Cricetulus griseus: one gene and its partners. The protein of the gene in region 3 interacts with the protein of the main gene of each other region in a pairwise test. Links are inferred from orthologs where the notes say so. Each region holds a gene or a part of one and is shown on either strand. Other genes may lie near its edges. The genes, in order: Stk4, Akt1, ras association domain-containing protein 1, Map2k3 and Suv39h2.

Region 1 (5,726 bases), on a different chromosome or scaffold from region 3:
TTTTACTTTTATTCTACGATTTAAATTTGCATAATGAGAGCTAATTATGAAGGAAAGCATCAAAAAACGAGAATAAAACTGAAACCCAATGGAAGCAGTTCAACATTAGAAATGCAGACAACCAGAGGGCCACCTCAGTAGCACCATTAACACTCTAAAAAGGAGATGTGCCTATAAGTGAGCGTGAACAGCAATTCCTAAAAGAACATAATCAGGAATTTAAAATCTCTACAGGTGGTCAGACCTTAACCCAATCCATCATGACTTCTTTAGCTTTTAAATACAGCTAACATCTACTTAGATTTAATTATACAGTAATTTTCTGCTTAAAGTAAACTTTTCCCCCTCTCATGGGCTCTTTTCTGGTTTCCCCACCCCATGTGGATAGCACTTAGAAAACATCAGAAGCTAAGATCCACCTCAGAACAGACACACATCAGAGACAGCAACCTCACTTAACACCATTATCGTCGTTCTACCAGGATCATTTTTTTGAGACAGGTTCTATCATGATAAATATTTAAAGTTTTTATATCTTTCTGTGGTCATATTTCTTCAAATTTAAACAGTATTCTAGCCCCCTGCAGCTAGAGGCTGTCACACTAAATAGTTTTTAACATAGAGCAAAATAATTAAGTATATAAACTAATAAACTAGTATTAAGATATCAATAGGTACAGAAATCACCAATATAGTTAATTCTGGACTGATGAAGGGGCAGAAAGAACTTGGTGCTGCACACAAAGCCTGCAGCTTCAATTTTAAATCAACAAATTAGTCAAGGTTTTGACTTCTCTTAAATTATTTATTTCATTTTTGAGCTTATAATTATATCATCTCCTCCCTTCTTTTCCTCTCCAAAGCTTCCCAGTCTTTGCTCTCTCTCAAATTCATGGCCTCTTTTTTCATTGTTGTTACATTCATATATGTTATACACACACACACACACACACACACACACACACACACACACATATATATAAATATTCCTAATGCATAAATATAACCTCTTCCATATGTATAATGTTACTTGTATACATGTTTTCAGGGCTGACCATTTGGTACTATATATATTACATATATATATATATATATATATATATATATATATTATATATATTATAAATATATATTATGTTAGAACACTACTCTTGGCTAAAGAACTTGCTACTGTCTAATAAAGAAAACGTACAAATTCTCAATAACATAAATTAAGAAAAGGAAACAATGATATGACACAAAATTTATAACTTGAGTTTCAAAACAGTCCCATCTTATAACTTATGTAATACTTCATAATTTATAGTATACTTTTGCATACTTAAGATAATTTTTACAACATTGCAAATACTTAATATGGGGATGCCCATTCCCATTCTTACATTAAAAACGAAACCACCCAAGAGCTAAAATTTCCCATTCCACAATCTACACAGAAACTAGAGTTGTTTTTCAAATTGCATGTCAGATGACTCACTTACTTTCTTAGAATCTAGACATGTTCCTTCTGTACCTGGAATAACACTTAGCCACAGTACCCTGACCTACAAGACCCAAAGCCATCAAGCCTGCCCACCTGTCTAACTCAAGACAGACCTCCTCAAGTTCCCTTTGTCTGGCTGCACTTCTAACACCAAACGTACCGAACACACTGCAGTCTCCGAGTCTTCTTCACACTGGCTGGTTCCTGCCTCAGTGTCCCTTCAGGAGATGCTGCTCATGCTGCTCTGCCTTCCAAGATTCTTGACCACATTCCTATCACTGCCCTTACTAATTGTCTCCAGAGTGTTTCTTGTTACCTTGCATTTCCTCTCTAACTGCCACCTGCTGGCTTTTACTTCCCTACTAGAAGGTGTGCTGCCATAAGAGCGCCAATCACCATATGTTGTGGTCTCTTTTACTTCCTACTGGATCCCTAAAGCCTACAGCAGTATTCTGCAACTGAAAACTATAATCCATGACTCTTAGGTCTGACCCTACAACCTCAGGCATAACAAATACTCTTTTATAATAGGCTTATTCCCTGTTCAACAGCAAGTAGAAGAAAACCACTCTGTGGCTAACTTGATAGGAAGACAAATTCAAAAGTAAACGTTTAAAACTCATTCTAGAGGTAGAGAGAGATGACTCAGCAATTAAGAGAACATTCTGCTCTTCCTGAAGACTTGATTTCCACCACCCACACTGTGGGGCTCATAATCGCCTGTAACTCCAGCAGCAGGGTAGGCAAGACCCAACCTCTATGGGTGCCTATATTCACATACACAAACCTACTCAAACACATAACTTTTAAAAAACAAGGACTTTTAAAAGTCATTCTAGAATAGCCAGGCATGGTAAGGAGAATGACATAAGAGGAGTGTGAGTTCATAGCCAGCCTGGACTACACTGTCAGTTCCAGGTTACTCTTCACCATGAAATCCCGTCTCAAAAAAGTGAAAATTCATCCCCAAACCATGATTTGATAATAAAAAGTAAACAAAAATCACTGGAATGAGTCAATAACAAATTGTCACATTTAAGAGAGAATTGAGCATGGTGCCACACCCCTGTGGTCCCAGCACTTGGGCTTGGTAGGGGTAAGACACCCTGTGATTCTATCCCTCAGGTTTGGGATGGGGAGGGTAACACAGCCTGTGATCCTAGCACTTGGGCTGGAACAGAAGGACCAAAAGTAAAAGAGCATACTGAGAGTCTGTCTTTGAGATGGGAGGGAGGTAAGTAAAAAGACCAGAGACCCAAGGAAAAGGAGGAATTCTCTACGTGTAGCAGCAGCATGTGAATAAAAGGCCTGAGGAAAAAAAAATGACAAAAAGACCAGGCCAGCAGCACCTACTAGGAGGTACACTTACCGTCTTGTTTCGTAACCGAATGATATCCGACACAGAGCCAGCCCCACAGTACTCCATAACGATCCACAGGTCTGTGTTCTTAAAGTAGCTGCCATAATATTTGACTACATGAGGGCTGGAGAGAAACACAATACAAATTAGTAGAACACCCTTCAAACATTTCAATTCATTCTGTTCAATGATGGAAAGTAACTTCTCATCTCAAAAGAAAATGAATTGGACTGGAGAGATGGCTCAGCGGTTAAGAGCACTGACTGCTCTTCCAGAGGTCCTGAGTTCAATTCCCAGCAACCACATGGTGGCTCACAACCATCCATTATGAGATCTGATGGCCTCTTCCGGTGTGCAGATATACACGGAAGCAGAATGTTGTATACATAATAAATAAATAAAATCTTTTTAAAAAAGGTTAGAAATGTTTATAAAAAAAAAAATGAATTATTTCTAGGTAGAACTAACACAAGCAATCTCCTGATAAAAACATGAAATGGAATCAATTTTCCTAAGAGTAATAACATAAATTCAAAACAAGAAAACAGTATTAAGTGTATAATTTATCCTCAAAAAATAATCACAAGCTGGGCGTTGGTGGTGCACACCTTTAATCCCAGCACTCGGGAGGCAGAGACAGGCGGATCTCTGTAAGTTCGAGGCCAGCCTGGTCTACAGAGTGAGTTCCAGGACAGGCTCCAAAGCTACACAGAGAAACCCTGTCTCGAAACCCCCCACCCCAAAAAAAAAAAAAAAAAAAATCACAGAGTCTCAAAATATTAGCTACTGACATGGTAAAAGAGAAATTAGATACAATTTTAATGACCATCCAAAATGAGGGAACTTAAATAACAGCACCACAAGTCCATGGAACATGTTAGAGGAATGTTTAATAAATAACTTAATATATCCTGGGACAGGAGACTTGGCTTAGCTGTGAAGAGCACTTCCTGATCTTCCAGAGGACCTGGGGTTCAGTCTCCAGCACTCCCACTGTCTGTAACTCCAGTTCTAGGAGATCTGATGCCCTCTTCTATCCTCACGCACCAGGCATTCAAGTGGTACACAGACATACATGTGACAAAACACCCATACACAAAAAGAGTGTGTGTGTGTGTGTGTGTGTGTGTGTGTGTGTCTGTGTGTGTGTGTGTGTCTGTGTGTGTGTGTCTGTGTGTGTGTGTGTGTGTGTGTGTGTGTGTGTGTCTGTGTGTGTGTGTATCTGTGTGTGTGTGTGTCTGTGTGCACTCGCTCATCCTATTTACAAGAGAGAGAAGGGTAAGCTATAAAACAATCACAGTTAAATCCCCACAGAGACATGGAAAGATATACCAAGAGATATATAATGATGATGATTTTACCAAAATGAAAAGCAATCTCTTTTTCTTTTTTCTAAAAAGTCATAGTATAATTGGGAGTAACAAAATCATCACTATATAATATAAAGAGAAAAATGTTTATTATCAAAACTGGAACTTTAGGCCTTAAATTTGGAGACACCAAATAAGAAATATCTGAGAAGTCAAGCACCCCAGTAAAATGAAAACTCTGTTTAACAATTTGTTGCATTAACAACTGGACTGCTGTTGGAAACCAGGTTGCCTAGCAACCAAAGATATTAAAACTACACTGACCTCCTGGACTTTCCATTTCAAATGCCCCTTCATTCTCGGGACATATACCAGTGACAAGGACAGAAGGAAAACACAGCACATAAAATGAACATTAGTGCAAGCAATACAGCTCACAATAATCCCGTGTGCTCTCTTCCCTCGCCTCCTGTAGTCACTTTCTCTATTGTGCAAACACACTGTTGGAATATGTTCTATGCAGTCTTGTACTGTCAGCTAGATTTCCTGAACTATACAAGCCTGGCCCATGAACTCCCAAAAATTGGAGAAAAATCACTGATATTCTCTCCAGCTGCTTTAATAAACCAGGCAAATGTCCCCGAAACCCTCCCCTTACTCAAAAGACAGTGACACAAAAATACATCAAAGAAGCAAACAAACAAAACTCTCAGAACACAAGGACTCTGCCATGTCTTTCTTTTTTTCTTAGAAGGCTTAACCCAGAAGGATCTTCAAAATGTCAATTCTTAGCACATGATACTCTTAGGTTTGGATTCCAGCACCCACATGACAGCTCACAACTGTCTATAACTCCATTTCCAGGGGATCTGACACTATCTTCTGGCCTCCACAGTCTTCAGGCACATGTGGTCCACATATATGCATACATGCAGGCATACACATAAAAAAGTAAAAATAGCCAGATGGTGGCGGTGCACCCCTTTAATCCCAGCACTCAGGAGACAGAGACAAACTCTGTGAGTTTGATACCAGCCTGGTCTACAGAGCAAGTTCCAGGACAAGCTCCAAAGCTATAGCGGAACCCTGTCTTAGAAAACCAAAAAAAAAAAGGTAAAAAATAAATCTTTAAAAAAAAAACAAAAAACACTTCAGTTAGAAGCATTTCCATACTGTTTATATATAGTCCCAATTTGCCAAGTAAAAGAGTTTGAGTAAAGTAAATTGAAGTTTGAGTAAAAACAAAAATCATATAGATAAAAAGAAAAACTGCTAACTTAATTCTGGCCAATCCAACCAGGAAAAACAAAAAGGGAGGTTTTTCTATAGCAGACAATAACCACAAAAAGAAGATACAATGGGAAGAAGATGAGCAGTAGCTGTACTTCAAAGTTGGGGAGATTTGAGGTCCCTGCAAAATAACAAAATCCACTGCCCCCACATAATCTACTGCTGAAGTTGAAAACGGATAATAAACTGATCTCACCAAAATTGCCGCCTCATGTGCTAAACTTCTTCACCCTCACTTCCAACTCCCTAGACCTAGCACTGTCCTCAATTTGACTTGTCGCTC
Region 2 (6,453 bases), on a different chromosome or scaffold from region 3:
GCCAGGAGGAGGGGCAGGAGGGGTGGCTAGCATTGGCAAGGATCACTAGTACTTCCGGTGGGAGCAGGTCTGCAGGAAGAGGAAGTCAGGAGGGGCTGAGATGCCTGCCTGGGGCAAACACAAGTGACTGTCCTAGAGAAGTAGCTTTGAAACTTACTCCTGGCAGAAGGCAGCTGGTGGGTTAGCTGGAAGGTGAGGGACCCTGAGCCTTGAGAGAGCCAGTCAGCCCTTCAGTTCTAAGGCCAACATGACCCTGCCGGGGCCCTGCTGATGAGGAGCCCCCTGACTTCAGGAATCCAGGACTGAGGTGGGCACAGGGCCAAGCGGAGCAGCCCTGCCCTGCCTGCCCTCAGGAACCCTTGGGCAGTGCCCAGGCTACCAGCCTGCCAGCCCTGGAACAGCAGCCATGTCCTTGCTGCCTTCCAGGAAAGCCAGGAACGAGGCTGCAGCAGCTGGCCCCACCCCCAAGCCGGCAAAGCAGGCCCTGCACAGGGCCTCAGCCTCTGGCCAAGAGGCCCCAGGAGGAGGCCATGACCTCCATACTATGGGAAAAGCTGGGCCTGCACACTCCTCCTGTAGCAGGCCTAGAGCCCCAAGGTGGGGAGGTGCGGCTCCTGTCCAGCCGGCCTGGACACAACAAGCACTCTTTGATATGGCCTCAAAGCAGCCTACTAGGGCAGTACAGCCGTCTCCCTCCACACACCCAGTTCCACACCCAGTGGTTGGGCAGACCCAGGCCCAGCTCTACGTCTCCCACAGAGCAGGGACTGACCTCGTTTGTGCAGCCAGCCCTCCTTCACAATGGCTACGTCGTTCATGGTATCCGTGGCCCCCAGAGACCGGGGTAACCCAGGGATGCTCAGTGTATCTTCTCAGCAGGCTGAGCCCAGCCGGCCTGGCCGCAGCGTCTAGAAAAAGCCAAGAAGGTATGTGAGGAAAGGCCCTGCTTGGGGTCTCAGCTTTCATGAGCCCCGGCCACAATTACCCACGTCCCTTTATGCGATCTACCCCTTTCTGGTTCCCAGGTTCCCTCCTCACCCTTACTCTGCCAGCCTGCCTGACTTCTCTCGAAACACAGCAGTATAAGATCCATCTCCAGTAGATGCTGTGCCCAGATCCGGGCCTGGTAGTCTGGGATGCAAGGCTGCGGCCAACCCGAACCTCCCTGGCCTCTGCTGGGACACACTCCACGCCCAGACCTTTCCTGAGAGGCAGCTGCTGAGTTTGCTACCCTAGCAAACAGTCCACCTCCTCCAGGCAGCACTGCTGGCTTCTGCTGGGCCCCACACTAGTGAGGGGTGCTCGTTCACTGTCCTTGTCCCTGCGTTCTCACCACCCCTACAGCCAAGGATGCCTAATGCAGAATGCAGGGCTCCTGCCTGCTCGGACTAGGAACACAGGAGTGTAGGCATTCAGAGGCACAGGTGGAGTAGGTAATGGATATAAAGCAAAGCCCAGAGTCTGAAGGGGAAACATTAAAAACCTCCCCAGGTGAAACCCCAGACCCTCTCAAACACAGCACCCTGCTCCCCTGAAGGTGTTTCATTCATTGGGCTAGCATGTACCAGGCGTCTATGGGTTTGCCAAACCTTCACTCTATATCAGGGACAAAGAGACTTCTAGGCAGCCCACAGTTACAGCATTCAGCCCACACAAGAGGCAGGCAACATACAAAAACCTAGGGTCCTGCAGTGACCCACCAGAGAGTCAGAGTCAAAGCACACTTTGCCAGTTCCCCCTGGCACTGCTTCTCTGCTGGAGGGACTCCTGGGCATCCCTCAAGGCCCTGTTCTCATGTCACCAAGTCTGGGAAAGTGCATTTGGACACTTTTTTTTTTCCCAGCAAGCCTATGCTGTCCCTCCACCTGGGGTTCCTGTGGACAGGCCCAGGAAAGACCAGAAGACCACTGTGGAATAGATCCCAACTTGGGTCTGTCTACTACAGCTGACCCAGACAACCCCCTAGGTCACCTCTCTAGACCAGAAGGCACAAGCTAGCACCCAGAGTCACTGTCACTTTGCCTTGTCTGGAGCTAAATGTGGAACAAAAGGAAGGCCCTGCTGTGTGCCAAATGCCAAATGCCAGAGGAGGAAAGACCACACTTGGCTTAAGAAGGAAAACATCCTACCCTTAGCAAGCAGGTGGCAATGGAAAGCCAGGATGAAAAAGATAAGCCAAGAAGGAACCCCAGATGATGGCTATCCAAGTGGGTGTGGCCTGGAGGTAGAGGGTTGGACTGGAAGACCTCTCTCTGGATGTACCCCCACCCCCACCCAGACCCGAGGTCTGCTGGTGACAGTCAGCTGTCCAGAGCCATGTAAAAATAAGTTCATATGCACAGCGATGTTAACCAGTGTCCACATCAATCAGCCCTGCGCATGGGACCTTCTTCCCTCCACGACCCTGGAGCGCCTTGCCATAAGAGCATATGGTTGCTATTGTTAAGTCTGAAGAGTTCAGCCCCTCTGGGACACTGGGCCCACACGCCCAGCTGGGGCCCCAAGGCGACTCGCCCTTCACTTGAGTGATGGCTCTAAGCAGTCAAGGCTAGCCACCTGGGGCAAGACCAGAGGCCTGGGGATGGGGGGCGGGGGGTGAAGGAGTTTGGCCACAGGGCAGAGCAAGGTTCGGCCACCACCTAACTTAGAAACCAGTCCTCTAGACAAATCCATCAGCTCGGCCAGTATCCGGGATCCCAAAGGTCGAGCCCACGCGTCCTCCAGGCCCCAGCACCTCCAGAAACCACCTACTCCAGGAAGCAGTTTCCGGGCCCAGGAGGGCTAGCAGTCCTTTGTGGGCTAGCCTGGGCACAGTGCCACCGCGCACAACTTTCTGTCCGTGGGAAATGAGTTCTCCTTCCCAGGGCCCTCCCACCACACGCAGGCCGCGGGGCGAGCCTTTCTCCTACCCTCGCTGGCCGAGTGCCCAGACAGCCCCAGGCCCCGGGGCGCACCGGCCCCCACTGCGCGCACGCCAGCAGCGCCCCTCTCCCGCGCGCGGCCTGGCCCCGCGGGGCGGCCACCCAAGGTCACGCGGCGGCCGCCCCGCACTCTCTCCGGCGTGGGCCTCCTGCGCGATCCGCCCGGCCCGCCGCGCGCTCAGGCCTCGCTCGGCCAACAGGCGGGCGCGGCCGGGAACAAAGCGGGGTGGCCGCGGCCCGGAACAGGGCGCGGCGCGGGCACTCACCCGGCCGCGCGCGTGCGGGCGACGGGGCCTAGCCGGCCGCGGCCTCGGGCGCCCGCCGCTCCGCATCCCGCGGGCGGGCGCTGGGCGGGGCCGGCTGGAGGCAGCGGCGGCCGGCGCGCGCGCTGCTGGCCGGGTCTAGGCCGCCGCGGTGCCGGCCGCCGGGCGCTGCTCGGTCCGCTCCGCCTGTCGGGACTCGCGTGCGCTGCCGCGCTGGGCCGCCGCCCGCCGCCCGCCGCCGCTTCGGTGCTGCCGCCCGCCGCCGCCGCCGCCGCCGGCCCGCCTTCTCCCCGCCCCGCGCCGCGCCGCCCCGCCCACATCCGCCTCCGCCGCCCCGGGCGCCCCCGGCGCGGCCGCGGCCAGGGCGAGGCGCCCCGTGAGCGCGAGCGCGGCCCCGCAGGCGCCGCCCTCGGGTGGCCCCGAGCCAGGGCCACGCGGGTAACGGAGCCCCGCCGCCGCAGATCCAGAGCCCGGGCCCTGGCCCAGGTTTCCCCGTCGCTGGACGACCGGGCACTTGTCGGTCCGGCTCTCCAGACCCCACGGGGCGGGCGTGCGGAGCGAGCGGATCGCTCTGACTTTCCCAAGAGGCCCAACTGTCCCCTTGTTGGGAGCCGGGCGAGCCGGGCCACCGGTGTCCTAAAGGCCACACACGCCACCCAGAAAGGAAGGCTGCTGGGGGCTCATTCAACCCGGGACTGTCGGCCAAGGAAACTGACGGGCACCCTGCGGTGACAGGGAGACGGGGACACACCTGGACATCCAGGGGGGCCAGTGTGCTGTTGGGGGCAGACCCCGGGGTAGAGCTCAAGTCAGCCAAGACCTCGCTGTGCACTCAGATGGGCGAGGCGCGGGAGGGGGGCGGGAGGACGGGGGGGGGCGGTTCCTTATGGTGTCCCGGAATTGGAGAGTCAAGGTGGCCTCTAACCCACCCTCTGCTCTCCCCCTTCAGCCTGCCCCAGCAGTTCCTGCCCCAGCAGAGCCCCTCCCTCGTCCCTGAGGCCCGAACTGATAATAACCCTTTTGTGAGTTTACCTCCAGGTCTTTGGTATTTTTTCCGAGGGGGCATTTTGTTGTTGTTGTTTTGTTTTGTTTTGTTTTTAATCCAAGGGTCAGAGTTCACCTGGAGTGTAAACAGGATAGATTTACTCCATGCTAGCGCTAGTCCAGAATGGAGTCGCTCCTTCTCTGCCTCGGGGACTGACTTATGAAGCGAACCCCTCGCCGGGAAAACTGTCCTCTCGGCGGGGGGCACAACTCCTGGGGCGGGAGCGGTGGGGGGTAGGGGGTCTGTTCTGCTTGTCTGCAGCACAGCTGCCCCAGCTCTGAGCACCTCCAGGGCGCTAAGCCCGGCGGGTCTGTGCTGCTCCAGCTGTATCCCTGACCTGAGGGTTTCCCTCGGAGACTGAGCAAATCCATCACTCACCCAGCAAACTTTCACCCCAGGCCCCCTGGTCCTCTTCCCCTGCTTCCCCAATCCCCGTGCTGGGCAGTGGGGAGTGGCCACTGCGAGCCAGCAGGGCGCCCTCTTGTGGAACACATGGCAATTGGAGACTGTTCTCCAAGGACTGACATCTTCTGGGTGCTCTTTCTGGAAGCCACTGTTGCAGCACTCCCACCTGTGATGAGCCGTTTCTAGGCAGTACCCGTCCCTACCTTCTTTGTGTCTCTATCTTCCCCGTGCCCAGGGTCTTCCTGCGGACGGAGGGCGCAAGGCCCTCTTCTGGGCCCACACTTTAGCCACACCCCTCTTGGGCCTCCTAGGCAGAGCCACAGACCAGAAGCGAGCCTTACCGCGACTTGCCAGTGATATGCTCTGCAGCCAGATGTCTCCAACAAAAACAGTGGCCCTGACCCCCTCCCCAGGCACAGAGGTGGTCTTCCCTGTCACCTCCTGCAGCTGGCAGTTGGGTAGGGACTCAAGTGCCTGAGCCCTGCGCTAAGAGGTCTGGGCATCGGCTGCAGGGTGGGACCCCAAAGCTGGAGAGGTTTGCTTGTACCCTGGACTGGGACTTTGACAGCCTCCTGTCATCTCTATGCCACAGACCACTGGCTGGTGGAGCAGGATCTTGGAGTGCCAAGGTTCTCACACAGATGATGGAGCGGCCGGGGCAATATGGGGTGACCCCGTGGGCCTGCCAGGTCCCGCAGGCAGAAGCTCGCTGTCTTTGTACTCAACTTCTCTGCCCTAAAAACCATGTAGGGCAAGCAAGGGGCCAGGATTTGGGGCACTGCTCAATGCCCAACGTGGAGGAAGAGGGACAAGGGGGCTGGTTGGTGTCACCAACATCCAGCCATCATTTTCTCAAAAACCATTCTGTGGCAGGCCAAGGATCCATCCATCGGTGTACACAGAAGCCCCCCGGCAAAGAAACAGGGGTGCACCTTGCCTGACAACCTTTGACTGCCTACACAGGGCTAAACAGGAATAGAGAAAGGGTTGCAGGTCAGGAGGGACTAGGGAGGACGACTTTAGCTAAAGGGTGACCAACCAGCACACAATCAGCAACGGATGAGGACTTTGAGAGGAAAGAACATTCCAGAACTAAAGGCCTATCACCTTATAGTATTTCACTCTCCAAAGTTAATTTTCATAGATCCTAGATTTCCATATTAATGGGGGTTATTAAGGCTATAGGACAGTGCCTGTCAACCTTCGGATCTCAAAAAGACTCATTTACAGGGGTCACCCAAGGCCATCAGAAAACAGATATTTATATTACAATTTATAATAGCAAAGCTGTGCAGTAGCCACAGAAATAATTTTATGGCTTGGGATCACCAAGACATGAACTGTATTAAAGGGTCTCAACATCAGGAAAGGTTGAGAACCCCATGATACGGGGTTCCTGCTGAGCCAGAGTAGGGGGTAGTCAAAGGAGGGAACTGGCCCTCCTCAGGCAAGGCTCCTAGGTTGGGGACAGCCGAGTTCTGCAGCCCCTCAGCTGTGCTGTGTCTGGGTTAATGTAGCGTGCCTCTAGGTTCCTTGGGGGCAGTTACCAGATTTAGGAAATAACTCATATAACCAGTCAAATTTGCATTTCAGATACACTTTTTTTTTCCAGGACAGGAAGTTGAAACAGGGCCTTGCCATGTAGCTCAGGCTGGTCTAGAACTCAAAATACCCCTGCTTCGGCCTCCGTTTAGTATAACGATGTGTTTTTTTTTTTTTTCCCTGTAGAATCTTGGCCCTCCAGGGACTCTGGCAGCCCCATCAGCTTTGAACAGGACCCTGGTGGTTCTCTCCAATGGCCAGGAGCCCCCACCTCATA
Region 3 (6,471 bases):
GGGTGGTGGTCACAACCACGACAGTCCCAGAAAAGTCTCTGATAATGTGGCACATCTAGGAGACTCTAAGAGAGATTCAGCTGCCCTGGTAGTACACTTTACAGTTAGTCTTCCCGCTCCTAATGCTTAAAGTCCAAGGCAAAGATCATCTATCTGACTATGCACCCCCCCCCAGCAAAGTTAAGGAAGATCGGAAAATTGTCTACATCCCAGCATCTGGTGTCAGAGTTGGCCCAGCAATGGCTGGGGACTTTACTGGCTGATCCAAGACTGAAAATGGAAGGGACAGGGTCCCCTCCCAAACAAACTTCTCACTTCCCGGCGGACTCCTCCTCCACTTCCTTATTTCCCCCAGGGAGGGAGTAGGAGCGCCCAAATGCGAAATCAAGATGCGGGTTTGGGCTGAGGCTGGCTTTAGTCATGGGTGAATAACGCCCGCCTGGGGTCCACCCAAGCTTCGCAGCTGCTTGCCCTGGCTCAACCGGTCTGTGACCGCAAGCCAGGGAAGCCCGGGTACTCAGTTCCAGCGCGCTGGACCCCGGCTTAACCAGGAGCAGAGCCCTACACACATTTCCCGGGGCCGTTTCCGTGTGGCCCCGCCGGGAGGCTCACGGAGAGGCGGGCAGGGGCGGGCGGGGCTCGAGCGGCCGCCCCTCACCCGCCGGCTGGCCGGCCGGCCGCACCCCCCTCCGCCCCGGGGCGGCTCCCACCTGGTCCCGGCGGGGCCTGCGGACCAGCGAGGTCCGCGCCGTGAAGTACTGCTCGAGCTCCGAGTCCGAGTCCTCCTGGCTGCAGTAGCCACTGCTGGTCGTGCTGCTCCAGGTCATTTCGAAGGAAGGCGTCTCAGCCTCACCCATCGCCTTGCCCGCCCGATCCCTGGTCCACTGCGTGCGGAGCCTCCAACCACCGCCCCGGGCGCGCGCGTGCGTGCGTGCGTGCGTGCGTGTGAGCGTGTCTGTACGCGCTTGCGCAGAGGCCTGCAACGCGCGGTGACCGTTAGGGCTAGACAACCAGAATCTGGAGCTGATGGTACGGCGGGGGGGGCGATGGTGGGAGGGGCGAGGGGCGGGGACACAACGCTACACCCCGAGGAATGACCTCATCTCTGAGGCATCTCCACTCGGCCCCGCCTCCCAGAGGGAGGGAAGTGTCTGTGCGCGCGCGCATGTGCACCGCCGTTGCCTCAGGGCCGGAAGCGGGGTGTGAGAAGTGCGCGTGTAGCGTGCCAGGGCGCGACTTCGCGGCCAATGGCTTGTGGGCCGTGGTGTTTGCGTGGAGTCAGCTCCTGACAGACCCACAAGCAGAAGTGGACTCCCTGATGCCGGGAAATCGGTAATTGGGAGGTTCGTTGTGTGCGGCGCCTGGTACCTCCCCTGAGGGAGGGCTGACGAGCCCCAGGTCCCCTCCCCGCCCACACTCCCCCCACCCCGACCCCGAGCTCACCACGTTCGTGTCCCTTTCCAGTGCGGGATCCCAGCCCAGGTCTCGGGGCCCGCAGCAGTCCAGGCAGACGAGCGCACGACAACGGTAATGGCAGGTGAACTTGCAGTCTGCAGAAAGGGCTGACGGTGAGGCGGAGGAGCTTGGCCAAGTGACCCACAGACTGAGGGAGCCTCTGCCCGACAGATTTGGGCTCCACTGGCTTTTTCTCAAACGCGGTTGCCGCCCACTGCTACACAGATGCTGGAAGCACGTTTGGAAACTGCCTGGAAGGCCTCAGGCTGTTACCCTGCTCAACACTTGTGTTTGCCTATCTACCGCAGAGCTACTACTTCACTTTGCCATTAACTTGAAAACAAAAGTGTTTAATTTACGACTTCCTCTATTTGTCATCTGCCTCTTCACTTGTTTACACAAGCCTATTTTGTTTTCTGAGAAAGGGTCTCATGTAGTTCAGGTTAACCTCAAATGGTAACCTTGAAGTCGGGAGATCCTCCTGCCTCCAACTGCTCCAAGTGCCAAGATTACAGATGTGTGCCAATCCCCAAAGCACACATCTAATGTTTTGCCCTCTGTATACGTTAGCAGGGTCGTTCCGTCCTAAATCTGTGTTGCTTGCTCCCTTTGACTCCCAGGGACAGCACTCACTAGCTGTTTCTTGTCGCTTCTCTGTAGCTCCTTGCTAGCCCCTTCATCAGTTCCGACTCCCAGGTCTAATAATTGATGTCCAGGTTCCTCATCTGGATACTGTCCCAGCTCTGTCTACACTCACCTGATCCAGATCCAAGGCGGACCTGATTTGCCTCTTTAGGACAAATCCTACATGTAGTGCCTTCACTTTAATGCCTAATAAAGATTTCAAACGTACATCACCAAAATTTCACTTTTCTTCCACTGCCACTCACCCCTGGGTTCCTATCTCAGCAAAAGTTACCACTGTCCATCTAGTTATTTGAAGCAAAACCCTACACATTCTTGATTCCCTTACCAACCTCTTGTCAGACATCCAAACTGTCTGGTTTCTCACCTCCAGAGCAACTTTGTTTCTATCTGAAAATGTTGCAGTATCACAGCCCAGGCTTCTATGTGGTATTCTGTCACAAATGACTGTTCTTCACTAGCTGAACCTGTGACATACTCGGGTAGTGAATGAATGAGCTCTAGGCATGCACAGGCCTACAGCCCACCCTTAAGTTCCCATATGGCTCGAAGCGCTGATTCTCAGCTCCATCTACACATGGGAATTTGGGAAGCAGAGGCAGGTGGACCTCTGTTTCACCCTGGTCTGAATAGAGAGTTGCAGGCCAGCCAGGGCTGCATAGTGAGACCCTGTCTCAAAACAACAACAACAAAAGGGAACGACAACAAAGCCCTCGATACCTAAGGTCCACTTTCAATAATGGACTCAAGAAGCCTGAGAGGTCTAGACATAAGGCGATGGGAGGGTATAAAGTATCCCGGGTGAGTCTAACTTCCGTTTGCGGCTAATCCCCAGGTCAGAAGGACCACTATGCGTGTGGTTGTGTTCATGTTTTAGCCTCTGGATCACTGACTCAAACCTCGACTAAAAGACTCAACAAGGTTCCTACTTACAAGGAGCCCAACCAAGGTAACTTTTTCTGGCCCCCTGTCATATGTGGGTGAAGTCACCCAAGAATCTGGAGGGGAACACAGTGCCAATCCTTTGGAAGAGGAGGACCTGGGAATATAGGCACAGGGCACAGTAGGCACAAAGACTTTTCAAGGGTTCTGGCGCTTTAAAGAGCTTGGAACCAGCACCTTGTTATTTACAGACATCTGCCTGTGCCCACCTGTGCGCCAGGCACGGACGAAGTGTGACACCGTGATAAACCACTTTCTCAAACACGCTCCCTGATGGGGCAAGGTAACGGGACCTGGTCTGCAGGATCATCGCTGCTGACCCCCTCCGCTGCCACTTGACCCGCAGCCATGGTGCTCCTGCCTTTGACCTCCCGTTCCGTGATCGCCGGCTGTGTGGGGCTGCTACTCACGCGCGCACTGTAGGCCCTTGCGCACGACGCCCCAGATGAAGTCTCCACAGAGGTCGCACCACGTGTGCGTGGCGGGACCCGCAGGCTGGAAGCGGTGGCCGCGCCCCGGGACGTGCTGCTGCGAGGGATTGCGTGCTGTGCACGGCGCGATGCGCAGAGCGTTGGCACGCTCCAGCCGGGTCCGGCCGGGGCCGATGCGCCCAGACGGTGCCAGCTCCCGTAGCTCAATGAGCTCTGGCTCTGCCGACATGGCCCGGTCAGGCCGGGACTCTAGCGGACTGGGCGCTAGCGGGCGAGGCCGCAGGGCGGGGCCGCCACTTCGGCACCGCCCCCAGGATCAAGGCAGGGCGGCGGGAAAGAGAGGAGGAGAACGCAATGGAAACCGAGGAGAGGCCACAGTGTGCACTTGTGGGCGGGGCGGGGCACAGGGGCGGGCGCTTTCCAAGAGCCCCTTCCCAGGCTTTCCTTCAGTCCTTGCCCCAGCTCCCCTCCCCAGCCCCCAACGACGACTGCAAAGCTCCACACTGATGAGTTTCGTGTCCCCTTTACTGTGATAAAGGAAAAGGGTCTGCACATCCGGCCCTTTCGTACGTCCCCCAACCCTGTCTGCCAGTTTGCTGATGCTGAGGCCTGGTTCTCTTCTTTACATATTCGTGGGGTGGGGCAGGAAGCGAAGAGCCTTTGCTTGTGTGTTTGTCGGGTGGTGGTGGTTTGCAGCGCTACTTGGCTCAGCTGTGCTCACCACCAGAGAAATTGAGGTCTGACAGGAGCCAGGCAGAACTACCGAGTCTCAGAGTCACATTCTGGCCGTCAGAAGCTGCAGCCTTCACTTGGCTCTGTCACCTTGGGCTGCTAGAACACATGTCTTTCCGTGCTTCTCCCAGTGCTTGACTTGGCAATCCCTGCAGGGGTGTGGGCAGCGTGAGGATGACAGTGCTTGTGGGAGGACTCAGGGTTGGAACTTAGGGGGATTAAGGTTCGGGGGTCCCTTACCTGCAGCAATACCACACACTCTGGCATCTGGAGCAGCGCTTGGAGGCCTCTGCTTGGCAGTAAGCACAGTGGGGTCTCTCTGGAGCTATTGCCTCTAGGACATCCAGCCTGTAGGTTTCAGCCCACCTGGGGGAGGGGCCAAGAAGATCTGACTATGACAGGTAGGGGCACAGACGCACTCCCTCCCGCCATGGCCATGCCTTCTATGTCCTATGCACCCGTCTTGAGCCACGCAGCACACCTTACCTCTGGGCCTGCCGGCGAAGGTCCTTCTCTGAGGGGCTGAATACATGCTGCAGCTGGTGCTTGGCAATAGCCTGCCATTTGCCTTTGTTCTCTCGCTCTAGCTGATTCCAGATTTCCGGGATCTAAGAGAATGTAATAGAGAGGAGAGGAAGGAACTGGCAAAGCGGATCATGGTCCCGAGCAACTAACCTTCGAGGTGCCTACCTGTTCCAACACCAGGTCCTTCTTAGGGGGCTGGGTTTCAGCCAGGGCCAGGTGGGCCAGGAAACCCTTCAGGTCCGCAAGGTTGGGCAGCTGGTCAAGAAGTGTATCCGTGAGGAAGGCCTGAAGCTGCAAGGCATCCGGGGAAGGCCATTGGGAAACAAGTCCTGGCCAGAGGGTCAAGAGACAGGGAGTCCCCAAGTTGGGTTGGGTGTACTTGGAAGGTTTATGTCTCACCAGTTCCCATGTCACAAGAAGTCCAAGTTGTGGAAAGAGGACAGGGACAGGCAGGGATACAATGGGGGTGAGGCAGGGTAGTGGTGGTGGCAGTGGGGGATGGGTAGAGCCATTGAGCTCCTCACCTTAAGAAGCTGTCCCTTAACAAAGCTTGTAAGGCAGTATCGGGCTTGGGCCTCAGGGCTGAGCAGTAGGTTATACAGGGTGATCCACACTTGCCCATCCAGCTTATTTAGCCTTTGCTGCTCTGAGGGGGGCACTGTCTGCCAGCGGCCATTCTCAAATTGCTGCAGTTTGCCTGGGGGTGGGGTGGGGGAGAAGGCAGGAGAACCAGCTCACTGGACGCAGGCATTGCATTCTCTTTGAGTGTGTGGATTGGAGGGTTGAGAACAGGAAGCCTGGGCGGCCAGACTTGTCAAACAAGGTGAGTCCACGGGACTTGTCTGCTTCAGAGTCAAAAATCCAGACCACCTTGGTATCCTCAATGTTCGCACTGTGCGGCTGTCCACTTCCATTAACCCTGAAGGATGTTCTGGAAGCAGCCAGTTAGGTCTTAGGCAGGTGGGGGAAGGCCTTACCTCCTTCCCGCCGGCACCAGGGACTGTGCTCCAGCAGCTCCACCAGGAGGCAGGGCAAGTTGTGAGTTCTGAGCATGCGGTTCAAGGTACTCGGGGAGAGGCTAGAGGGAGGCGGGAGAAGGGGTAGGGTCAGCAGAAGCTACAGGCCAAGTGGGGCAGCCCTTTATTGTTTGCCCCAGGCCCTGGTGGGTGGCCCACCTATCCACGCAGTCTGTGATGTAGCGAAGTACCGAGAGGGCCTTCAGTGAGATCTCAAATTCCATCATCTCAGCCTGTTTCTGCAGCTCCTGTGGTGGGGGCACAGGCACACAGTATCCGCCCCTGCCTGTGGAGGCCTGCGAGGACTCCCTTTGAGGTTTTACCAACTCCAGGAAACCTTAACTTACTTGCATAGGGGTACTGTCCTGGGACCGTTCTTCCTCATATGGGTCACCACAGCCAGTCCGGGCCACCAGCAGTATCAGCTTGCGGTGGCAATAGTCCACTAGGTCCAAGACCTTGTCATCTGCTGACTCACACACCTCCTGGGCGTTCAGGAAGGGGATATTTCAGTTTTCGGTATTGATAGTTGATGCCCTCCCCCACAGATAGACCCCACCAGGCTCTGGCCTGTAGAAGTGGTGTCTTGGCAGGGGTAGAGCCTCACCTTGTGGAAGAACACTGTCTCTAGAAGATTGATGATGGAAGCCTCATGGTGTACCTGTCAAAGAGAACGGGTCCGGGATGTGAAGGAGGCACAGGGACTGTGAGCTGTCATGGTTCGG
Region 4 (4,579 bases), on a different chromosome or scaffold from region 3:
CTGGCCCTGTGAAGGCTGAAAGGATCCTTGGCTTGGAGGGAGGGCCAGGGGCCAGGCTATGAGGATTGAGTTGTACAGATAAATCTAAGTCCAGGGTGTAGGGACGGACCTCTGCCTTCTTGAACTGCCTCACAGAAAGTTTTAATTCACCTATTGATGTGATAAAACACAATAACCAAAAGCACCCTGGGGAGGAAAGGGTTTATTTTGACTTACCCCTCTCAGATCACACCCCTTCACTGAGGGAAGTCAGGAGCATAGCACAGTAGAAGCCATGGAGGATGCTTATCGGCTTGCTACTCCTGGCTTGCTGGCTCTGTTTTGTTACATCACCTAGGACCACCAGCCCAGAGGCTGAGCTGAATACCTGCAGTGAGCTGGGGCCTCCCATATCAATCATCAATCAAGAAAATGCTCAAGCTTGCTTACAGGCTTTTCTTAATTGAGGTTCCCTCTTCCCAAATGATTCTAGCTTGTGTGGAGTTGACATAAAACTAGCCAGCACAATGTTACAATGAAGTTGAATTCTTTGAAGATGGGCACTTTTCTACTGCACCTGTGTATGAAAGTGCCCTGGTACCTTAATTCTTGATATAGCAAGAACAATGTATCTTTAGTTGCAATGACCTTTAACAAAAAGAGACATTCTGACCACCAGGGGTCAGTTACCAAAACATGCTGCCCATTTTCTTGGTTACCGCATGTCTAGTTGTTTTGAGACTCTTCCCATGGTTGATTGCAGGACTTTCAGGTAGGACATTTTTGTTGTTGTTGTTTGTTTGTTTTTGAGACAGGGTTTCTTTGTGTAGCTTTGTAGACCAGGCTGCCCTCCATCCGCCCGCCTCTTCCTCCCAAGTGCTGGGATTAAAGGCGTGTGCCACCACCGCCTGGTGACATTTTGTTATTTTTACGGAGGCTTTATCTTGAAGGCTGGACCAAGGTTTTACAATAGCTTTTCAGGCTGCAGAAACAGGAGCAAGGCTTAGGCTGTCTTCTAGATTTTCTAAACCTATTCCTCCAGGTCCACCATTCATATTTGTCTTTGGCCCAACATTTCCACTTAAAACGCTGCCATCCCAGTGAGCAGTCACATAGTATTCCCCTTGGTGGGCTTTGGCCTCGGGAGCTCTGGGCACACACATTTTCTGTCTCAGAACACAAGGGGTTACCCTCACATACACAGGTCACACTCAGGACGGTTCTCAGCCAGGAAGGAATGTTGTCCAAGTGCTGATCTGAGTGGGGTCACCATTTCCATGGCTCTCCCAGATATTCAGCTGTTATAGGGGGGCTAGCTCCCGAGGCTGGTCAGTCTTTTTGTAAATAAGTTCCTGTGATAGATGCCTTATGAATCTTTGTTGCTGAGGCAGTTTTTATTTATCATTTTCTAAGCTTTTTAGAAAAAAAGATCATCAGAAAAGATGGTTGAGGCCCAGGCCCTGGTACTTTTGGTTAGGTATATGGGTGCCACTGAGCTTTCTCTTTCATAGTCTGCAGAGAGGACCCACCGTAGATTCTGGAAATGCTGTGGCAATACTGAATCTGCATGGTTCTGTCCTCTGGACAGGCACACAGGCTGACACACACTCTCCTCCCACCATGCTGTTCTCATGCTGGCTGGAAAGGCCTGGGGACTGACAGGAAAGCCCCTTCCGAGCTTGTTTTTAGTGCTCTAACTAGTGCCAGTTGCGTTCTTTTGAATGGTGTCTCTTCTATTCCTTATGGTGGTTACAGCCTGCCATACCAGTGAGGAGGTATCCATGCAGGAGAGTCTGACTCTGTTGTCCCCACTAGTAAAAGCAACAGCCAGATAGGTGGCCCTGACTACTAAAGTCTGTGGTAGGGAGGTATTGGAGAGCGAGTAGCCGGGGCCACTAGGGACTAGGACTTGACACAGTGAGGTACTCTGCTGACTGCTGCCTTGTGGGAAGGTATCTGTGGCTGCCACTCCTCATGTTTGGCACAATATCTGGAACCCAAGTTGTTAGATGAAAATCTTCCAGTTTTAGATTGTTTGAAAAGACAGTGGTGATCAAACCTAGTCTAGCCTAGGGCTAGACTTAGTCTGAGCTAGCTCTGCTAACCTGGTCAGAGGACCTTCATACCGGCATCCCAGTAGTTGGCCTACTGCTAGGTGTGAGGGCAGTCAGTGACAGCACCACTGGCCTGGTCTTGGGTGCTGGGGAAGGATGGCTGGGTTCCTTCCACTTTGTGCTTCTGGGTACAAAGTTTGGGTCATCTGATGTCTGTAGCCTGCTGACTCTGCTTTCCCTATTGCAGATCGAGATGGCCATTCTGCGATTCCCTTATGAATCTTGGGGGACACCGTTCCAGCAGCTGAAGCAGGTGGTGGAGGAACCATCCCCACAGCTCCCAGCTGACAAGTTCTCCCCTGAGTTTGTGGACTTCACCAGCCAGTGGTAAGTGTCTGGGTCTTGTCCTTTCCTCCTGCATCATGTAAACCCTTGAGCTACATGGTATCAAAAGGTAGGAAGTAGTGACAGCGCCAGTATGGACAAAACCCTGAGTCCCAGTGGGAGGTTTTAGTTTAGATTTCCCTGAAAAGGATATATCAAGTAGACTCAAAGAAGGAATAGTGTGTGTGTGTGTGATAATATATATTATGGAAGACTAAAATACATAATAAAGTCTGCTTTTATTGGTGCCTAGAAGTGTTTTTTTTTTTTAACCAAATTACAGAATGTTCATGGAAGCTTTATAAAAATCGTTTTTAAAGTTATAAAAGAATAAAAAAAAAGCAATTATACAGACTGTGTTCTCTAACCATAACTAAATAACCACATAGAAAGTAAAAGTAGACTCTTGTAAATAACTCTGGGGTTATAAAAGAGATTTAGAAAATACATTTTTAAGAAGAAACACACACCAATCAATGTTTGTATGTTGTGGGTCAAGAGGTGCTCAGAGAACAAAACAAAGCCTCTCAATAGAAAATGAGACAAACAAAGCAGATGAGGCCAGTAGCAAGATTCATTGATTAGTTTCTGATTGGACCTTCATGCTCCAGAACCATTGATTGAAGTCTTCCCTTCTGATAAAGGATAATCTAGAATGTGATCGTTAGGCAGAGTGTTTCAGGGTTGGTGTCATGGACATAGTCTGGATCAGTATGGAGACAACTGGACTCCAAGAGGCAGGGAAAGTTGCTACAAGACTAGTTTGCACCCATGGACCCCAAACCACTTTTTGAGACCCCCAGACAGTCTCGTTCCTTCTCTGAGCCCCAGGAGTATGTTGCTTAATGGGCGCAAGCCCAGCCTGTCTAGATTTGCTTTCTCCGTGTGAGTCTGGCTTCACTGCCCTCTTTCCTAGCCTAAGGAAGAACCCTGCGGAGCGCATGAGCTACCTGGAGCTGATGGTGAGTATACATGGGAAGTGCCTGCCCTGCCCCCTGTGCTGTGTAGTGGCTGGGTGGAGCTGTCTGGAAGAGGGTTGCATCGAGGGTGGAGGGGTAGCTCTTCTTGCCTAGTTCCTGCACACACTTCTATAGTTTCACCTTTGTTCATACACTCAACCCAGGCCATGTGGAAAGATGCACAGTGCTGTGACAGTAGGGCAGAGGAGTCACTGTGGCATCAGAGAAAGCTTCTTAGAGGAGATGCCATTTGAACTGAGCCTGGAAGGATGGATATTGGCTTTTTGCTGATGAAGGACGGGTAGAGGATCTGGTAGAACAGAGGTCTGGTTCCCTTGAGAAGAGATGTTTGTATGGTGGGGGACTACTGCAGGAGGGTGAGACAGCGCCTCAAGATCTGATAGTTTTGGAGGGCTTCTAGGGGTAGTGGTCCTAGAAGGACCAGCAGGAAGTTGGCCAGGCAGGAGAACCATTCTGGGGTGGATAAGGCTTTGGGGGAGGGACTTCCCCTTTATACCTGCTCCTGTACCCCTCACCCCCAGAAATTGGTGCCTCTGTTTCCTACCAGGAACACCCTTTCTTCACCTTGCACAAAACTAAGAAGACAGACATTGCTGCCTTTGTGAAGGAGATCCTGGGAGAGGATTCATAGGGGACCGGCCTGGGATCTCACTGGTCTGCCAGCATCCCGTATCCCTCTGCTGGGGCAGCACTTACCTACAGCCATAAGCTACTGCCATTCTGGTCCTGGGCATTCCAGGAGGAATTGAGGGGGTTGTTCCTGTCTGGCTTGGCAACTAGCTCTCCCAAGTGCCAAAGAATCAGACCTCAGGGGGCTTCCAGCCAGGCCCACATGGGCCTTACAGTGCCTCTGCTGTTGCTGCTCCCAGGGTCTCAGGCCTCCGCCCAAAGGATGAATTTGGAGGGGCCTGTGTACCCCCTGCAGATGCTGTTGCCTCTTGAAGAGGAGTCAGCTGGTGCTTCTGTGGACAGGCCAAAGCCTTGGTACTGTCCTGGATGCCACCCAGGTTGTATATATATTTTAAATCACAACTGAATGGACTTTGTACACTGGCCTGGATCAGGGACATCTCTATCCTGTCTCAGGTGCTGAGGACACACTATAGGGATGAGCCATGTGAATCCCCTAAGACTTTCCTGGGGGGTGTGTTGAGCTGCCTAAGGCCTTCACCCATCACTGGC
Region 5 (6,492 bases), on a different chromosome or scaffold from region 3:
CTGGAAAATATAGTTTAATAGCACTGAAGAGGCTACAGCATGATGGCTGTGAGTTCAAGGCCAGCCTGCGACTAAACTGAAAGCCAGCTCCTGTCTAAATTAATTAAAAGGAAGCTACAAGTTCAGGCAAAGACAGGGAAAAAACGGTGACACCTTTGAAAGACTAAAGACAGATAACTAGTGGTGAACGTATATTGAATGCTAAAGGATTATATTCATAGAGGCAGAAGGCCGGAGTCTTCAGCTGAATGTGAGAAAGGGGAGAGAAAAAGGTCCAAAATAGTAATAAATATTAGGAAAACCACTGCTATGAATAAGAAAAAAAAAAAAGCAACAGGTTAAAATCTTGTTAAGTAGAACTAAGCAATATGAGAATGTAGAAATTGGGTTTATTTGGGTTTTTGCTGGTGTGTCCTGTGTTGTGTCCTGTTTCCCGTCCCATGTCCGTCTGCCCCCTCCCACCCCCAGGGTGGAGAGATTGTTGGGACTTTATGCATGCAGAGTAAATACTCTGCCGTTGACCTGTAGTTCCCTTTAACAGCCTTTTTAGAAATAAATTATAAAGAGTCTAAGTTGCCCAGGATGGGCTTGAACTTGTTGTGAGTCTCCTATTTAGCTGTGCAACCAGGCACAGTTTAAAAGTATGTTTTAGGGCTGGAGAGATGGCTCAGAGGTTAAGAGCACTGACTACTCTTCCAGAGGTCCTGAGTTCAATTCCCAGCAACCACATGGTGGTTCACAACCATCCATTATGAGATCTGGTGCCCTCTTCCAGTGTGCAGATATACATGGAAACAGAATGTTGTATACATAATAAATAAAATCTTTAAAAAAAGTATGTTTTAATAGAGCTAATGCATATGTTCAGATGATATTCTCAGCTAGGCTGATCAGTTTAGGGTGCTGGGAGTGTTGGTTGAGAGGCTAGACTAAGATTTCTGCAGGGGAAGACAATGCTACCACAGGAAAACAGGCATTCAAAAGAAGAAATGGACTTACTGAAAGGCTCAGCAAAGATGGGGGAAAAATTACATTAAATAGGATTCTTGATTGTTTATCTGCAAGAACTGAGATTAATGGCCAGTTCTCAGAGGAAGCTACAAGTAAATGAATTACAAAAAAATACAATTACAGGCTTTAGATCAAAGAGCTTCTTAGAACAACTCATTTTAAGATTAATGAAGGGAAGCACAAAGCAATTAAGTTAGTTTGCTGAAGTTGTAAGATATGAAACAAAGGTTTGAAATGACCATGACAGCCAACCATTTTATCATGCCATAACTTATAACACAGAGTTTGGCAGGAAATATAAATTGTGATGCTTCTGGAGGACATTCACTAATTCTACAGTTGGCTTGTAACCTCAGGTTCCTTCCAGGTGATTATGGGAAATATGATCCAGGAACAACATGAATTACAGTGAAAGTCAATCTGACATAAAACATTTGCTCTGGAAATCCATATGGAGATAGATAATCAAGAGTTGGATGTAGGATGATATAAATACCCTAAATATTCTAATGCAAGAGCACTTTATACTTCATAATCCCTCAGTGTTATTCAACAAAAATGATGACAATGCACAAAAGTCTATGACTTACAACCTTAAACAGAAAGAAGAGCTTTGTTTATTCTTAAGTCTATTTTTATGCTAGAGAAACATGAAATACTGCAGTGTGAATAGGTCTCTTTCAAGGGGCTAGATATTGCCTTACCTTTACTACCTTGTAGTCACACAAGTACTCCACCTCATAATTGTTTAGATTCCTTTTGGTGATTCCAATCGATTTACATGTGAGCTTTTCTTTTCTACATAATTCCTGAAGAGTATCAAGTGAAACTAGGCAAGGCACACACCAGGCTACAATAAGAAAATAGAATTCTTTACTAATAAAATAGCTACTAGGATGAAACAAAAACTTAAAAACTTCCCAACTGACAATTTTATAGTAAGAAACGAACATGACAAGAAGCCAATTATGTGTGTTTGAGAAAAAAGTTACGTGATAAAGATCTACTTTTGATGAATTGAACTTCTATCCTATTGTTCTATTGGCAAAGGCTAATTCTTGCTTGGCCACTTAAAATATTTCATGTCTAAGTTTACTTAAGATTACTATAAATGCAAAAATGAAAAGAGCTAAATTTTTTTTACTGTTCCATTATATTCTACACAGAATGTAACTGTTCTCTTAATAAACAGCTAAGACATATTATTAGAAATGTATCTAAAATATATTCTAAAACAATCACAATTTAAAAGTAACCTTTGCTTCTTTTAATCACACAGTAAGATTTTAAATCTGAAATATAGTTCTGTAGTTAAATCCATATCCTACTTTGCCCATTTCAGGAATACCACAAGTCTCATTTATTTTGCCCATGGTGAAATGTATTATCAACATGCATAAAATAGAAACATCTACTTTTCTATTTTATATTGTATATTGGGCTTTATAATGCCATTTCCTGGACTGTTTAAAGCCAGCAAGCAGTTACAAAACAGAAAACTCAAAGTAAATTATCCATAAACAAGAAAGTCAGACATACTAACAATAACCTTACACAGGCCAGAAATGAACTGTGTTCCATCCCAAATTTAAAATATAACTGCACAAATGATGTCTAGAAAATGTAAAACTTCACTGTACGTCTAATAGGGGAATCTAATACTAGATGATCAAAAGCCCTCCACCCTACTTGTTGGTGGGCCACCTAGCTACACAACTTTAGGAAGGGCTCAAGCTTTCTGGGTATCACATTCACTGAAAAAAAAAAAAAGAAAAGAAAAGAAAAGAAAAGAAAAAGTGAGAGTGGTGAAAAGAAGTGACCAAACAAAATGTATCATTAGTTCATCATGCTGTATTTAATAGTTCTTCAAGGTAGTAGGCAAACGTTTTGAGGTAGATTTCAGGGACAGGAGAACCTGACTGTTTTAACTTCCCCACATCCCTTCATCATCCTCCCCCGTTAGGACTTCATTAAAGGAAATTGTTAAGCATCATTTCCCCACTCCAATCAATGGAAAAGACTCGTATTTCTGGCACTCGTAAAAGGCAAAGTCTTTTCCTCAAATTTGCCAAAATACATTGTTTAGGTGTGGTGGTTTGGGGGTAGGACAGGTATAAAAACCGTCTTCTTAATCGCTTCCATCCAAAAATCTTAAGGCTGTTTTGTGTAAGGCTAATCTCCTTATGTTAATCATCTGTAAAGGAGAGACCTGTTGGTTATTATGTACCCAAGGTGTTTGTTTTAAATTTTTTACTCCTAGTTGAGAATCCAAAAACACAACCCTATAGCGGAGAGTGGTGTTGAATTCGGTAACACACGTATTCGAATGAAAATGTCATAATGACGACCATTATGTGTAAGTACGACGCATCTCTCAACAGAAATGCTACATTTTGAGCATTTCGGGATTTTTTTTTTCTTTTTTAATCTGCAAACCCTTGGTTTACAAAATTCCACAGCCTATAATGATGGAGAAAAAAAAGTTTCATTGTCCGGATTAGTTTATGACATCCCGCTTATAAAATCCTTCCACCACACCCCACCCCCGCAACACCTCAAGGAAGTCGAGTGACGGGGATAATAAAGTGTCACCATCTGAGTGGAGCAGAGGAAAAAGCTAGCTGGAGAACAACCTTTTTTTTTTTTTTTCACTCCAGAATGCTTTACTTTCAACACACACGCCGCCCCCCCGCACACCCACATAAATAACCCACAAGTTCCAGCCGGGCCCCCCCAAAGTTTCCAGGAGCTCAGGGCTGTGTGTGCAGACATCTACTTTCGAGGGGAGACACTTCGCAGCGGTGCCAGGCCGGCTCGTACGCGGGCAGCGCACCTCAGCCCGGCTCCCACCGCGCGAAGGTGGCGACCGCTAGGGCAGCGGCGCGCGTGCTTCCCGGCTCACCCTTCAGAGAGGCGGGGCGCGCACACTCGCCACCGAGGACCCGGGCCCGCGGGACTTTCGGAACCACGCTCGCACGGAGCCGGCGCGTCCCGGGCCCGTAGCCCGCCGCCAGCGTACGGCGCTCGGGGTGTCCGCTCGGCGGCGTCCCGCCCACATCGCCGCCGTCCGGCTGGGCTCGGGCCTCGGGAACGGCCCTGGCGGCCGGTGACACCGCTCTCCAGTCTCACCTCTCGGTGCCTCGGCTCCGGCCGCCGCCATCTTGCGGAGCTTTCATTCAAACTGGCGCGGTCAGCCCGAAGAGCTCAGCTGGCCAGACGCCCCGCCCCGGCCCGCGAGGGACTCCAGAGATGGGAGGCTGGAAGCAGTGTGGCGTCCTGACGTCAGTGGAGGTTGACCCCAGCCGTAGTAGCCACTGCGCATGCGCGGCACGTTGGGGGGGGCACAAAGGGGCGGGGTCACAACTAGCTCCTGCCGACAGGCCCCGCCCCTCCTGGTATGGTCCTCGCTTTGACTCTAAAGGCTGCATGCCAGGATTCCCTCCCTGTTCGGTGCTCTGAGTCTCGTCCCAAAGGCATGGCACGCACGTTATAAGATGCAAAATGTGCTGTGTGGGTTAGAGTGCACAGATAGCTACTTTCCTACTCTTGTTCCTTAGCGCTTGAACCCAAGCAAGCTTTTCCTTTCACTCCCCGCCTCTGCAGAGCAGGATCTCAAAATTGGATGCAGGTGGCCTCACTTTGGATCTAAGTGGTCTGTTTGGATCACACAAGGAGAGTCTGCTGAGTTGATATGGCCGTGCAGCAGCTGGATCCAAAGGAAGGCGCTGAGAGTTGTCAAAATAAAACCAACCCAGCCAACAGCTGAGCTTAATTAAAGCAAACTTACAAGGTACATTTACAACTAGGACTTACTTTATCCTCCTTAACAGCTTTAAGCTTTGCTCAGTTTTTAGCCATTTACACTCAGGGAGAATTGGGCCACTTATCATTTTCACACCATTGTGAATCTTGAAAGTTGTAAGGGAACCATTATACACAAAAGCCTTCTGTAATTCCATTGGTAAGTCACGTCAGTGCTAATAGCAAACGCACACTGCCTGTCTCCTCTCTATTTTCATTGCTATTACTGTTATCCACACCATCATTTCTCAGTCAAAGAAGTCTAACTGCTTTGACCTCTGCTATTGCTCCCCTTGTAGCCACTTCCCATGGAGCTAAAGTAGCTTTAAAACATAAAGTGAAACATAACCCTTCTCCAACTTTAAGTACTTCACCGCATAGCACATCTTCCGGTGCCTATGAGACCACCAGTGATTAGAAGTCTGTTTTTCTCACTTGCTTTGAACCATTCTCCCTTTTGCCCACTATGTTCTATGGCTTTTCAAATTTTCATATACTCAACTATTATACTTACACAATTCAAATACAACACACACAATTCAAATATAATAGGCATATTCAAAAATATTTTCATGTGTATCTCCTATGTGCCAGGCACCTGCTAAACAAGAAAGGAAACAGTGTCCTCTTGGAGTCTTTTTGGGGACAGGGCTCAAACTTGCTTTGTATGTGGGAATCACCTTGACTTCCTGGTCTTGCTTCCACCTTGGTGTGCTGGGGCCACAGGTGTGAGCCGACACTCCCTGCTCTAAATAAACACTTTAACCTGGAAATCGCTGTCTAGCCCAAAGGGCAAACTCTCCTCCGTTTCATGTGGCTATCTTCTTATTAGCTAGGTTTTAACTCAAATGTTACTTCTTCTGAGAGGCCTCTAAAGGCACTCTGTCTCTATCCCTGCTTTAAAAGCATTTATCAAAATTTGTGTCTGTAGAATTGAAAGAATATTTTTAGTCTTACTAGGTTTTAATAAGACTTTAAAAAAGGAAGTTGGGGGCAGAGGATAGCTGGGCAGAAAAGTGCTTTTCTGATATATCCAGGGCTTAGGGTTTGATCACAACACTGAGATTTTTTTTTGTTTGTTTGTATTTTGAGTTGGGTTTTTGCTGTGTTAACAGCCCTGGCTGTTCTGGAACTCACTCTATAGACCAGGCCGGTCTCGAACTCACAAGGATTGGCCTGCCTTTGCCTCATGAGTCCTGGGATTAAAGGCGCATGCCACTATTGCCTGGCTTGAAAATTTTTTTTATAAGTTACAATTTTATAAATTAAGTGTTTGCTTTGTTTATCTCATCAGGAATCCCATCAGTTTGGAGGCATAGAGTAGACAGAGTAGACCCAGCCATTTCAGCAGCCATCAGTGTCTATATCTATTCTAGCACATCAATTCTCAGAGTATGGAAGAGTGGATCTGAGACCCTTCCAGAAATCCATGAGCACAAAGCTGCAGTCTTACACTGTGTTACAACTTTGTATCCTGGTAAACCAGCTCTACAAGTGTTCTGTGATGTTTACACAATAGCCAGCCACAAAACACAATTCTCAGACATGTCCTTGTCACAAAATGGCACCAAGGAAGCCTTGTATTTGCCCTCTTCGTTTTTTCTCATTGGTGTACTGGAGTTTTCCAGAATTCATAGAACTGGTATCATATACTGACAGAGGAAAACATATATCAAAATG

Evidence for each region.
Region 1: the proteins of ras association domain-containing protein 1 (region 3) and Stk4 interact in binary tests that used the Homo sapiens proteins (3 or more experiments, as listed by UniProt). The link is inferred for Cricetulus griseus from reciprocal best matches to the Homo sapiens genes RASSF1 and STK4.
Region 2: the proteins of ras association domain-containing protein 1 (region 3) and Akt1 interact in a protein complementation assay, tested with the Homo sapiens proteins (2 studies listed by BioGRID and IntAct, with this or other methods). The link is inferred for Cricetulus griseus from reciprocal best matches to the Homo sapiens genes RASSF1 and AKT1.
Region 4: the proteins of ras association domain-containing protein 1 (region 3) and Map2k3 come close enough for resonance energy transfer, tested with the Homo sapiens proteins (2 studies listed by BioGRID). The link is inferred for Cricetulus griseus from reciprocal best matches to the Homo sapiens genes RASSF1 and MAP2K3.
Region 5: the proteins of ras association domain-containing protein 1 (region 3) and Suv39h2 interact in a two-hybrid assay, tested with the Homo sapiens proteins (2 studies listed by BioGRID and IntAct). The link is inferred for Cricetulus griseus from reciprocal best matches to the Homo sapiens genes RASSF1 and SUV39H2.

The regions. Positions count from the first base shown.
Region 1 is NC_048599.1:15,428,173-15,433,898, forward strand, and holds part of Stk4 (serine/threonine-protein kinase 4), read right to left. Parts: intron 2,968-5,726; coding exon 2,853-2,967; intron 1-2,852. UniProt on the Homo sapiens protein: Stress-activated, pro-apoptotic kinase which, following caspase-cleavage, enters the nucleus and induces chromatin condensation followed by internucleosomal DNA fragmentation.
Region 2 is NC_048598.1:181,379,895-181,386,347, reverse strand, and holds the start of Akt1 (RAC-alpha serine/threonine-protein kinase), read right to left. Parts: upstream 4,051-6,453; 5' UTR 3,936-4,050; intron 909-3,935; 5' UTR 819-908; coding exon 773-818; intron 1-772. UniProt on the Homo sapiens protein: AKT1 is one of 3 closely related serine/threonine-protein kinases (AKT1, AKT2 and AKT3) called the AKT kinase, and which regulate many processes including metabolism, proliferation, cell survival, growth and angiogenesis.
Region 3 is NC_048597.1:215,731,328-215,737,798, reverse strand, and holds the start of ras association domain-containing protein 1, read right to left. Parts: upstream 3,739-6,471; 5' UTR 3,703-3,738; coding exon 3,453-3,702; intron 2,308-3,452; exon of another isoform or gene 1,551-2,307; coding exon 1,444-1,550; intron 1,344-1,443; exon of another isoform or gene 1,121-1,343; intron 967-1,120; exon of another isoform or gene 858-966; coding exon of another isoform or gene 711-857; intron 1-710. Other genes in the region: Zmynd10 (zinc finger MYND domain-containing protein 10), read right to left, coding at 4,279-4,354, 4,446-4,571, 4,692-4,813, 4,896-5,021, 5,255-5,427, 5,708-5,808, 5,906-5,994, 6,094-6,231 and 1 more. UniProt on the Homo sapiens protein: Potential tumor suppressor. Required for death receptor-dependent apoptosis. Mediates activation of STK3/MST2 and STK4/MST1 during Fas-induced apoptosis by preventing their dephosphorylation.
Region 4 is NC_048600.1:74,937,268-74,941,846, forward strand, and holds part of Map2k3 (dual specificity mitogen-activated protein kinase kinase 3), read left to right. Parts: intron 1-2,280; coding exon 2,281-2,420; intron 2,421-3,333; coding exon 3,334-3,379; intron 3,380-3,944; coding exon 3,945-4,028; 3' UTR 4,029-4,579. UniProt on the Homo sapiens protein: Dual specificity kinase. Is activated by cytokines and environmental stress in vivo. Catalyzes the concomitant phosphorylation of a threonine and a tyrosine residue in the MAP kinase p38.
Region 5 is NC_048596.1:220,773,990-220,780,481, forward strand, and holds the start of Suv39h2 (histone-lysine N-methyltransferase SUV39H2), read right to left. Parts: upstream 4,298-6,492; 5' UTR 4,172-4,297; coding exon 4,141-4,171; intron 1,862-4,140; coding exon 1,716-1,861; intron 1-1,715. UniProt on the Homo sapiens protein: Histone methyltransferase that specifically trimethylates 'Lys-9' of histone H3 using monomethylated H3 'Lys-9' as substrate.